Saccharomyces cerevisiae S288C: one gene and its partners. Changing the gene in region 1 together with any one later gene gives a genetic interaction. Each region holds a gene or a part of one and is shown in the gene's direction. Other genes may lie near its edges. The genes, in order: MEF1, MOD5 and HDA1.

Evidence for each region.
Region 2: mutations in MEF1 (region 1) and MOD5 together harm fitness more than expected from each alone (negative genetic interaction), as found in Saccharomyces cerevisiae (2 studies listed by BioGRID).
Region 3: mutations in MEF1 (region 1) and HDA1 impair growth when combined (synthetic growth defect), as found in Saccharomyces cerevisiae (one study listed by BioGRID).

Annotation. Positions count from the first base shown.
Region 1 is NC_001144.5:270,979-275,416, reverse strand, and holds MEF1 (Mef1p), read left to right. Parts: upstream 1-1,501; coding exon 1,502-3,787; downstream 3,788-4,438. Other genes in the region: RGR1 (Rgr1p), read left to right, coding at 1-39; D-xylulose reductase XYL2, read left to right, coding at 206-1,276; FYV7 (Fyv7p), read right to left, coding at 3,954-4,409. UniProt on the Saccharomyces cerevisiae protein: Mitochondrial GTPase that catalyzes the GTP-dependent ribosomal translocation step during translation elongation.
Region 2 is NC_001147.6:835,888-839,460, forward strand, and holds MOD5 (tRNA dimethylallyltransferase), read left to right. Parts: upstream 1-1,786; coding exon 1,787-3,073; downstream 3,074-3,573. Other genes in the region: TPO4 (Tpo4p), read right to left, coding at 1-544; RIM20 (Rim20p), read right to left, coding at 3,197-3,573. UniProt on the Saccharomyces cerevisiae protein: Catalyzes the transfer of a dimethylallyl group onto the adenine at position 37 in the anticodon loop on a specific subset of tRNAs both in the cytosol and the mitochondrion, leading to the formation of N6-(dimethylallyl)adenosine (i(6)A).
Region 3 is NC_001146.8:591,476-595,926, forward strand, and holds HDA1 (histone deacetylase HDA1), read left to right. Parts: upstream 1-1,751; coding exon 1,752-3,872; downstream 3,873-4,451. Other genes in the region: rRNA (cytosine-C5-)-methyltransferase RCM1, read right to left, coding at 1-1,424; serine/threonine protein kinase ARK1, read right to left, coding at 4,148-4,451. UniProt on the Saccharomyces cerevisiae protein: Responsible for the deacetylation of lysine residues on the N-terminal part of the core histones (H2A, H2B, H3 and H4).

The DNA of each region.
Region 1 (4,438 bases):
AATATCCTCAAAGTGGACTCGAACTCAAGTTCATCTTAGAGCGAATAAAATGTCACCGGCGCTACTATCCCTTAGGAGATTGTAACCCCTCTCCTGAATTAATTCAAAATAAAATTGAAAACTGTATAAGTATATACATAAATATATCCATACACACTAAAAAGACATATTCATACTGCCTTGAGGATAGAGAACACCATTGAGCATGACTGACTTAACTACACAAGAAGCTATTGTTCTAGAGCGACCTGGTAAAATCACCCTAACTAATGTCAGCATCCCAAAGATTTCAGATCCTAACGAAGTAATCATCCAGATCAAGGCGACAGGAATATGCGGGTCAGATATCCATTACTATACCCATGGAAGAATAGCCAATTACGTGGTAGAATCACCAATGGTGCTGGGACATGAATCATCAGGAATAGTGGCCCTCATAGGTGAGAACGTCAAGACACTTAAAGTAGGAGATAGGGTGGCACTTGAGCCCGGAATACCTGACAGGTTTTCACCGGAGATGAAAGAGGGCAGATACAACCTGGACCCCAATTTAAAATTTGCTGCGACACCTCCCTTTGATGGGACCTTGACAAAGTATTATAAGACCATGAAAGATTTCGTCTATAAACTTCCTGATGATGTGTCATTCGAGGAAGGAGCACTAATAGAGCCATTATCAGTGGCAATCCATGCTAATAAATTAGCAAAGATCAAGTTTGGAGCCCGTTGCGTCGTCTTTGGAGCTGGGCCCATAGGTTTGCTAGCCGGGAAAGTAGCCAGTGTCTTTGGTGCTGCAGATGTTGTTTTTGTAGATCTATTAGAAAACAAGCTGGAAACGGCTAGGCAGTTTGGTGCCACCCACATCGTCAACTCAGGTGATCTCCCACATGGCGTTACTGTAGATAGTGTTATAAAAAAAGCAATCGGCAAGAAAGGTGCTGACGTTGTGTTTGAATGTTCTGGTGCAGAGCCTTGCGTTCGAGCAGGCATCGAAGTCTGTAAGGCAGGTGGAACGATCGTTCAAGTTGGAATGGGACAAGAGGAAATACAATTTCCCATCTCGATCATTCCAACAAAAGAACTGACATTCCAAGGCTGTTTCCGATACTGTCAAGGTGATTATAGTGACTCCATCGAGCTAGTCTCTAGCAGAAAACTCTCGCTTAAACCATTCATTACACATCGCTATAGCTTTAAGGATGCTGTCGAGGCATTCGAAGAAACAAGCCACCACCCGTTAAATAATATCAAGACGATCATTGAGGGCCCGGAATGAAGGAAAGAAAATGTAACTTTTGGCATCCAAGATGCACAATACATTTGATTTTTTTTATATGTCTTTTATATATATATATATTAATATGATAACTTTGCATTATTATTGTGGGGATGGAACTTCACAAGCGGCCGAAATTTCCAAGATGAAAATATCTAAAAAACGAGATTTAATAAAGGAGATTGAAACGGAAGAAGGTAGAAAGCACTGCAATATATCACCAATATGAGTGTCCAGAAAATGATGTGGGTGCCTCGAAAAATGGTTGGAGGTAGAATACCCTTTTTCACATGTTCAAAAGTTTTTTCAGGTTTCTCGAGAAGGTCTTTTCATGAGAGTCCACTTGCTCGTTCTACATATGAAGAAGAAAAAGTTTTGGTGGATGAAATCAAACAAAAACTTACTCCAGACGATATTGGAAGATGTAATAAATTGCGTAACATAGGTATATCTGCTCATATTGACTCCGGAAAAACTACTTTCACTGAACGTGTTCTGTACTATACAAAAAGAATCAAAGCCATTCATGAGGTTCGTGGTAGGGATAATGTTGGAGCCAAGATGGATTCTATGGATCTTGAAAGGGAAAAGGGTATTACTATTCAGTCTGCCGCTACTTACTGCTCTTGGGATAAAGAGGGCAAAAACTATCATTTCAACTTGATCGACACTCCAGGTCATATTGATTTCACTATCGAAGTGGAGCGTGCTCTTAGAGTACTAGACGGTGCAGTTCTTGTTGTTTGTGCTGTTTCAGGTGTTCAATCCCAAACTGTGACCGTGGATCGTCAAATGCGTAGATATAATGTTCCAAGAGTAACTTTCATCAACAAAATGGATCGTATGGGTTCAGATCCCTTCCGTGCAATAGAACAACTTAATTCGAAACTAAAAATACCTGCTGCTGCTGTACAAATTCCTATCGGATCGGAATCAAGCTTATCTGGTGTCGTTGATTTGATTAATAGAGTTGCTATTTACAACAAGGGTGATAATGGTGAAATTATAGAAAAAGGGCCAGTGCCTGAAAATTTGAAGCCATTAATGGAGGAAAAAAGACAACTTTTGATCGAAACACTTGCTGATGTGGATGATGAAATGGCAGAAATGTTTTTGGAAGAAAAGGAGCCTACCACGCAACAAATTAAAGATGCTATTCGCAGATCTACAATTGCTAGGTCTTTTACACCAGTTTTGATGGGATCCGCACTGGCAAATACTGGTATTCAGCCCGTTTTGGACGCTATTGTAGACTACTTACCTAATCCCTCTGAAGTGTTGAATACAGCTCTAGATGTGAGCAACAACGAAGCCAAGGTTAACTTAGTTCCTGCGGTGCAACAGCCATTTGTTGGATTGGCATTCAAATTGGAAGAAGGCAAATATGGTCAATTGACTTATGTTCGCGTATATCAGGGGCGTTTAAGAAAAGGTAATTACATTACAAATGTAAAGACTGGTAAAAAAGTGAAGGTTGCAAGATTGGTCAGGATGCATTCTAGTGAGATGGAAGATGTTGATGAAGTTGGCTCAGGTGAAATTTGCGCTACTTTTGGTATTGACTGTGCTTCTGGAGATACATTCACTGATGGTAGCGTTCAATACTCTATGTCATCCATGTATGTTCCAGATGCTGTTGTCTCGTTATCGATTACGCCAAATTCAAAGGACGCATCGAATTTTTCGAAGGCTTTGAACAGATTTCAAAAGGAAGACCCTACATTCAGAGTGAAGTTCGATCCTGAATCTAAAGAAACAATTATTTCTGGGATGGGTGAATTGCATCTGGAGATTTACGTTGAAAGAATGAGACGTGAATATAATGTGGACTGTGTCACGGGTAAACCGCAGGTTTCCTATAGAGAATCTATCACCATCCCGGCAGATTTTGATTATACACATAAAAAACAATCTGGTGGCGCTGGTCAATATGGTAGAGTTATCGGTACCTTATCTCCCGTGGATGACATTACCAAAGGCAACATATTCGAGACCGCTATTGTTGGTGGCCGTATACCGGACAAGTATTTGGCTGCATGTGGTAAGGGTTTTGAAGAAGTATGTGAAAAGGGACCATTGATCGGTCATCGTGTTTTGGATGTTAAAATGCTAATCAATGATGGTGCTATTCATGCCGTGGATTCTAATGAATTATCATTCAAAACAGCTACTATGTCAGCCTTCCGTGACGCCTTCCTGAGGGCACAGCCGGTGATCATGGAACCTATCATGAATGTTTCAGTAACATCGCCAAACGAGTTTCAAGGTAACGTCATCGGTTTATTGAATAAATTACAAGCAGTAATACAGGATACCGAAAATGGTCATGATGAATTTACATTAAAAGCAGAATGTGCCTTGAGCACGATGTTCGGTTTCGCCACCTCATTAAGAGCCTCGACTCAAGGTAAAGGTGAGTTTTCATTAGAGTTTAGTCATTACGCTCCAACAGCGCCCCATGTTCAAAAAGAATTGATATCTGAGTTCCAAAAGAAGCAAGCGAAGAAATAGTCAAGTCCTCATGGGCAAAACAGTCTTGTAAATAACAAATTCCAATAAAAAGGAATTAACAAAAGGCAGGAAATAAAATTAATATACACACTAATTAAGTAAATTTAAATAAAAAGATCTTTCTGTAAATACACGAATGAAAAGAAATTTTGAAGAATATCATTATCTAGGAGGTATAAGTATCATCCGTCTTAATTTTATCCAAAAGATCCTCTATCTTAGGGCCCATCAAGGGCTGGCCTGTCCTTGTTCTTTGAGTCAATTTCTTCTTTCTATCTTCTCTCCTCTGAAATTTTTCCTTCGAAACTCTGATTCTTTCCAATTGCTCGTTTCTTTGCTTGTTTAATTCATCTTTTTGCATTCTCTTTCTTTGTTTCTTGATCTCCTTCTTCTCGTCTAGTTTCTTCTTTCCCTCTATTGCCCTGGCTTCCTTAATCTTCCTTACAGATTCTTTTGCCACGGTTTTTGGTTCCTTTTCTGGTACGGCATACCCTTCATCTTTTAAAGCTTTAAGGTATTCCTTTCTCAGTCTAGTTTTCTTTGTAATACTTCTTTGGATCTCCTTAACCTTATACTCCCTCGTAAACTTCTTTCTATTTTGATTTTGCTTGGCTGTACCCATATTGATTTTGCTCAGTTGCTTACTTGACC
Region 2 (3,573 bases), on another chromosome or scaffold:
TTCTCATGTGGCCATTGGATAACCCAACACCCATGGTGAAAAGCATTGACACAGGTAGGGAAAATAAATAGACAGGCTTACGACCAAACACTTCACTTAATGGAGCGCCGATGACAGTCGATAAACCCAGAAGATAGAAAGTTAAACCAGCAAGCGCCAAAGTCTGACTAACGTGATATCTTTCTACCAATTCTGGTACGGAAGAAACATATAGGGAACTACCCATTGTGACGACCAAACAAAGAAAAGCTGAAGTCATAGTAGTATACCATTTCTTCAAAGAGGACCAATTATGCGGATTGTCTGGGTCATCGGGCCCGTCCCAATCGAGATCTCTTGGGTCAATTGGCTCGCCCCCTGTCATGTTATTGGAATCTGCATTCGGTTCTGATCTTTTTTCGTCCTCTGTTATTGACCCTGTCGAAGAAGAAGTCGAATCCAAGTTGCCGCTATTAGTTACATTTTTGTCCAAGGCTTTTGGTACCTGCTGTATGTTTGTTCGAGGATCTGAGTTAGATTCGGTTTTTGTCAAAGAAGAAGGCATTAGTAAAACTTAAAATATATGTATACGATGTCTATGCTTCTTTGTGTGTGTATGTGTGTGTATAAGATGGTATCTTTATTCTGTAATTTTCAGGAAAGTGATGACTAGAAAATCGATGTGTCAGGTACAACAAATTGACAACCTATAACTTTCCATACAGGCGAATATATATATACACATAAACACATTCAAGCCTCCGGTACCGTTTGCTCTGACAAGGACAATTAGCATGTAAGCACGAGTGCGGGTATGCAATCATTTCAGTGTTTCCTTCATTTGGCATAGTGTCGTAACACGGATTTAAGGTGAGCCGTCAGGGGCTTTTAAGCGGAGCCCCTGCAGCTTCATGAAGACGGAACCGCACGGGCCTATTACCTCGGGGATAGATCAATTATCCGAAGCGGGTCACAACCCGGAAATAATAACCACTATGCCCGACCGTACCGACGTGGCACTATTTTTGGGATCCGTGGAAGTCGGCCATTAGTGGTAATCGGCGAAAACAAGTTTATTGCAGCTAAAGCACGCCATACGGTTGATATAAACAGCAATTAGGCACTTTTTCTCTTATTATTCATATGCCTTATTGGCTTGTGGCTTGTGGCTTGTAGCCTATGCAAATGCATTTGCTGATAGCAGCATAAGAAAGTTGGGAAGAAACGCTAACTGTACTTTTTATATCCAGAGTTCATTAGTTGATCTTTTACCCCAATAATTTCTTCCACTTGCGGCCTGCTTCTTCGCATTTCTCCCATTCCGGGCCGCGACTCCGTAGTTCTTACAGAAACAGCCGCCTCCATAACCATCTATGATAGGAAAAAGATGGACAAACAGGAAAAGAGCTAGGGAGTATAACCTGATTCCTGACATGTATAGGATTCGGGTAATTTTGAAATACGAAGCTCTTTGCATTCCGAGACCGGTTTAGGAAGATTTATTTACATATCTACTTGCGCTATTGTGGTCATGCCTTCGAAAGATAAAGAGCGAATTTTGCTCGTATAAGCTAAAATCAGGTAAAAGTTCCTTATGTTGCTGCTCCTCGATGGCAACGTCGATCTAAGATCTTGATTACTGAATCAGGCGAAAGCACACGTTCATCTTTCGCTCATCGGAAAGAAAATTAAAACAGAAAAAAATTCTAAAATGGCAAAAAAGAAGAAAAGCTCAGTGAGGGCTGTATAGTTTATTAGATAAGCTACTATACGTACATATCTTTTGTAAATAGAACCAAAAATCTTCATGCTAAAGGGACCGCTTAAAGGTTGCTTAAATATGTCTAAAAAAGTTATAGTGATTGCTGGTACAACAGGAGTAGGAAAGTCTCAGTTGTCCATACAATTGGCACAAAAATTTAATGGCGAAGTTATCAATTCGGATTCTATGCAGGTATATAAAGATATTCCTATTATAACAAATAAACATCCGCTTCAAGAAAGAGAGGGCATTCCTCACCATGTAATGAATCACGTAGATTGGTCAGAAGAATACTATTCCCATCGTTTTGAAACTGAATGCATGAACGCTATTGAAGATATTCACCGGAGGGGTAAGATACCCATCGTTGTTGGGGGTACTCATTATTATTTGCAGACTCTTTTCAATAAGCGGGTCGATACGAAATCATCCGAACGTAAGCTCACAAGGAAGCAGCTCGATATTTTGGAATCGACTGACCCTGATGTGATTTATAACACACTTGTGAAGTGTGATCCTGATATAGCTACCAAATACCATCCTAATGACTACAGGAGGGTACAACGAATGTTGGAAATCTACTATAAGACGGGCAAAAAACCAAGCGAGACATTTAACGAACAAAAAATAACTTTGAAGTTTGATACCCTATTTTTATGGCTATACAGTAAGCCGGAGCCACTTTTCCAAAGGCTTGACGATCGTGTAGACGACATGCTAGAAAGAGGCGCCTTGCAAGAAATCAAGCAATTATATGAATATTACAGTCAAAATAAATTTACGCCGGAGCAATGCGAGAATGGTGTTTGGCAAGTTATTGGCTTCAAAGAATTCTTACCGTGGCTAACCGGGAAAACTGATGACAACACAGTAAAATTGGAGGATTGTATAGAAAGAATGAAAACGAGAACACGTCAATACGCAAAAAGGCAGGTAAAATGGATCAAGAAAATGCTGATACCTGACATCAAAGGCGATATATACTTACTGGATGCCACTGACCTTTCTCAATGGGACACGAATGCATCTCAAAGAGCGATAGCTATTTCCAATGACTTTATTAGCAATCGACCCATCAAGCAAGAAAGGGCACCTAAAGCCCTAGAGGAGCTGTTGTCTAAAGGCGAAACTACGATGAAGAAATTGGACGATTGGACACATTATACTTGCAACGTCTGTCGTAACGCAGATGGTAAGAACGTTGTAGCTATTGGCGAAAAATATTGGAAAATTCATTTGGGTAGCAGAAGACATAAATCCAACTTGAAAAGAAACACTCGTCAAGCTGATTTTGAAAAATGGAAAATAAACAAGAAGGAGACTGTGGAATGAAAATATTAGGAAAAAGGAGTTTATCCTGAGTGTATATATCTACATAAGTGAAGCTGGGTTTTGATAATGGAAAGGGAGGATGACAAGCTCAAAATATACTTTATAGATGAATGAGGACAGGTATCATTGGTCTTCAAATGTCAAACTCTTATCAAGCCTAGCTTTTTCTGCTCTTCTTGCTGTATCATATTCCTGTACCTCATTGTACAGATTGCTGGTAGAAGTAATTAAATTTTCGTAAAATGCTGTGCCGGCACTTAAATTTTCTTTCACCTCATCAAGCAGTTTGAAGGAATATCTCAGATCTTCAATATATAGCTCTCTGGGATCTATTCTTACCATTTTCTTTGGTTCAATCCCGCTTCTGCCGGGGTTATTCTTCTTACTTAGGTTTACTTCCTCAATAAGTTTGATATTTTCTTCCTTTGTACTATTAACGTATCTTAAATCTTCGTCAAAGTATTTTAAATGGCCTATGAAAATGGGTTCAAAGTCGACTG
Region 3 (4,451 bases), on another chromosome or scaffold:
TTTGGTAGTGCCCTGATACAACCCTCGGCAAGCTGTTGAGGGTCATAGGTGACTCCATCTCTAAAAACCTCTTCGAACTCTTCTACCTTGCCTCTTCTAGGCCAAGAAGGAATAACTTCTCTTTTTGGCGCTACTTTCCAACCCCATTCTCTAACTGACTTATCTAAAAGAAGGTCTATGACGACTCGTTCATTTTCTTCCGCATGAATGGAACATGTGCTGTATACTATTTTTTTAGCCGCTGGGAAACTCATTGCATGCTTTACCATCTGGAACTGAAATGAACTCAGCTTCGCTAACCTTGTCTGTAGTTCTTCCTTTGCTATAAACTCCTCTTGCTCATCCGGCACAATGCCACCATCGTCATCTTTATCATCAATTTTCCTTCTATTAAATGAGTCAAAAAACTTACGACCAAATATACCGCTACCGGAGCAGCTCGGATCTACAATAAAACAAGTAACGTCCTTATATTTTTCAGGAGTAGCGAGCTTTGTAAAATCACCTACATTGACACTGATGTTGGGAGAACAGCCAGCTATCTTGATCATTTTTTGTAAAACTTTTGCTCTTTCAGGATCCTTCTCGAAAGCGTATATTCGAGTATTATTGTCCTTCGGTGGTTCGGGATATATATAAGAGGCCGTATGGGTAGTCTTATTACCTGGAGCAGAGCAGGAATCTATCACAATATCACTTGGTCCTGGATTCAAAATGTGGGCTGGAAAACAAGAAGCACGATCTTGAATGATAATCTTCCCATGCTTATAAAGCTCATGTGCTGTAATTTTGTCAGACGGATGAATTCCAAACAAGTTTGGAATAAACTCATCATAATAGATAGACCCAGGAACTAGTTCAGACCATTTGTCTACCTTTAAAGTAAACTTCTTCCTCAATTCGGCTAACACCGGCTCAGTCTCACCATTTGGATGGCATTTTAATGGATTGATTCTAATCCATCTAACAGGAGGAAGGTCATTGGAAATATCCTCGCTTAATACCAACTCAGATAGCTCTCTTACTTTCAATTTGAGTTTCAATTTGACCATTTCGCTATGCAATGGGCTCTTAAACTTCAAAACATAATCTTTGATGGGGTGTTTGCCCATTTGAATTCTTTTCTGCTTAGACAACAGCAAATCATGGCAAAGCAATAACAAAGTTAGCCTTGAAAAGAGTGGTTTGCCCTTTTTCTTGGGTATATCTTCCAATATGTGTGCCTTTTTCATCACTTTCTCCAAATATGGTTTATATTTCCAACACGAATCGAGAACTGCATAAATATGTTTTGGATTACTTTTCAGCTTATATCTTTTACAGCTTTTCAGTACCAGCGTCTGCATAGAGCCGGAAATCCTTTCTTTTGCAGCCTCCTTCTCAATATCTTCTAGCACCCATGTTGCATCCCTGTAGAAATTCATGCTTTTTCGTAGCTAACTTCTCAGTGAAACACTTGGTGAAGAACCAGCTCTTCTCTTAACCTCATCGAATATTTTAGGCCAGTTTTTTTTTTCCTCACTTGCCATTTTCCCGCACCGTTTGGAAATCTCGAGGAAAATGCTTCTTTCCAAAAGTTTAATCAGGTCACTAATTAGGTAAATAGAGCTGGGAGGAAGCATATACAGTGTTTCGTCTGTGGAAGGAACTTTTATTTTTCTTAAATGTTTTAATTTTTAGTGACCTAATTCACATAACAAAATATTGAGAAAGGGAAAGTTGAGCACTGTAATACGCCGAACAGATTAAGCATGGATTCTGTAATGGTTAAGAAAGAAGTACTGGAAAATCCAGACCATGATTTAAAAAGAAAGCTAGAAGAGAACAAAGAAGAAGAGAATAGCCTCTCTACTACTTCTAAAAGTAAAAGGCAGGTTATTGTTCCCGTTTGCATGCCAAAAATCCATTATTCACCGCTGAAAACTGGTCTTTGCTATGACGTTAGAATGAGGTATCATGCAAAGATTTTCACATCGTACTTCGAGTACATTGATCCACATCCAGAGGACCCAAGAAGAATATATCGTATTTATAAAATACTAGCAGAGAATGGTCTGATTAACGACCCCACTTTAAGCGGCGTGGATGACCTTGGTGATTTAATGCTGAAGATACCTGTAAGAGCCGCAACCTCCGAAGAAATCTTGGAAGTTCATACAAAGGAACATTTAGAGTTTATTGAAAGCACAGAAAAAATGAGCCGAGAAGAGTTATTAAAAGAGACTGAAAAAGGTGATTCCGTATATTTCAATAATGATTCTTACGCGAGTGCTAGGCTGCCTTGTGGTGGCGCCATTGAAGCATGCAAGGCGGTTGTCGAGGGGCGTGTAAAAAACTCTCTAGCTGTCGTAAGACCACCTGGCCATCATGCAGAGCCTCAAGCTGCGGGTGGTTTTTGTCTCTTCAGTAATGTTGCTGTTGCTGCCAAGAATATCTTAAAGAACTACCCAGAAAGTGTAAGAAGGATAATGATTTTAGATTGGGATATTCATCATGGTAATGGCACACAAAAGTCATTCTATCAAGACGATCAGGTGCTATATGTGTCATTACACAGATTTGAAATGGGTAAATACTATCCTGGGACCATCCAAGGACAATATGATCAAACTGGTGAGGGTAAGGGTGAAGGATTCAATTGTAATATTACTTGGCCGGTCGGCGGTGTTGGTGATGCAGAATATATGTGGGCATTTGAACAGGTAGTTATGCCTATGGGGAGAGAATTCAAGCCTGACTTGGTGATTATTTCTTCAGGGTTTGATGCCGCGGATGGTGATACTATCGGACAATGTCATGTCACCCCAAGTTGTTATGGACACATGACACATATGTTAAAATCTCTAGCTAGAGGTAATCTTTGTGTAGTTTTGGAAGGTGGATATAACTTGGATGCGATTGCAAGAAGCGCTTTGAGTGTAGCAAAAGTACTAATAGGGGAGCCTCCTGATGAACTACCTGATCCATTAAGTGATCCCAAGCCTGAGGTCATAGAAATGATAGACAAAGTAATTCGGTTACAGTCCAAGTATTGGAACTGTTTTAGAAGGAGACATGCTAACTCCGGTTGTAATTTTAACGAACCTATTAACGACTCGATAATATCTAAAAATTTTCCTCTGCAGAAGGCTATTCGTCAACAACAGCAACACTATTTAAGCGACGAATTTAATTTCGTTACTTTACCGTTAGTAAGCATGGATTTACCAGATAATACAGTGCTATGTACTCCAAACATTTCCGAATCTAACACTATAATTATAGTCGTTCATGATACTTCTGATATCTGGGCAAAGAGAAATGTTATTTCAGGTACAATTGACTTATCCTCATCAGTTATCATTGATAATTCTCTAGACTTTATCAAATGGGGACTTGACAGGAAATACGGCATCATTGATGTAAATATACCTCTAACTCTGTTTGAACCTGACAATTACTCAGGAATGATTACATCCCAAGAAGTTCTAATATATTTATGGGATAACTACATCAAGTATTTTCCTTCTGTTGCCAAAATTGCTTTTATTGGAATAGGAGACTCATACTCAGGTATCGTACATCTGCTTGGTCACAGGGATACTAGGGCTGTTACTAAAACGGTAATTAATTTCTTGGGAGACAAGCAGTTAAAGCCACTAGTTCCTCTAGTAGATGAAACATTGAGTGAATGGTACTTCAAAAACTCACTTATATTTTCAAACAATAGCCACCAATGCTGGAAAGAAAATGAAAGCAGAAAACCAAGAAAAAAATTCGGTAGAGTTTTGAGATGTGATACGGACGGGTTAAACAATATAATTGAAGAAAGATTTGAAGAGGCTACAGACTTTATACTGGATTCGTTTGAAGAATGGAGTGATGAAGAATGAGGAAAAACTGGCCATTAATAATTTTTTTTCGGCAACCTTCATGCCTTATGAAAGTTGAATAATAATAAAGTTGTTACAATGTTCATTGTATAATCCAATATATCTAAAATAGGAAAAAGAAATGAACAAATGCATTAAGCTGTGTTTTACTAAGTATTATGGGAAAACGTATACATTAAAGTGGATGCTTACATATATAACACATTGTAATAAAGGTTCTTTGAACATGTTACCAGCCTCTTCAGAGATCGATCCGGTTCTGTTGAGCCAAATACTCACTTATCCAAGGATAACTTTCGTCCCGCGAGGAGCAGTGGTTTTGGAGGAGGTTTAGGCTTTAAATGTGAAGGCTTAGGTGGTGGGGTAGGTTTTGTTTTTTTGTCTTTTGAAATCGGGCCACTTGATTTCAGCATTGTTGGCTTATCTATCTCCCCTTTCTCATGCAGCTTGACCTTGGACATTTTCCTAGCGTTGAATGACTCCTCAGAAGAGTTGAGTTTATCGATCATACGCTGTTGAATGGAGTTCTTCAAATTCTGCTTAGATACGTCCAAATCTTCATAAGATGGTTTGTTAAGA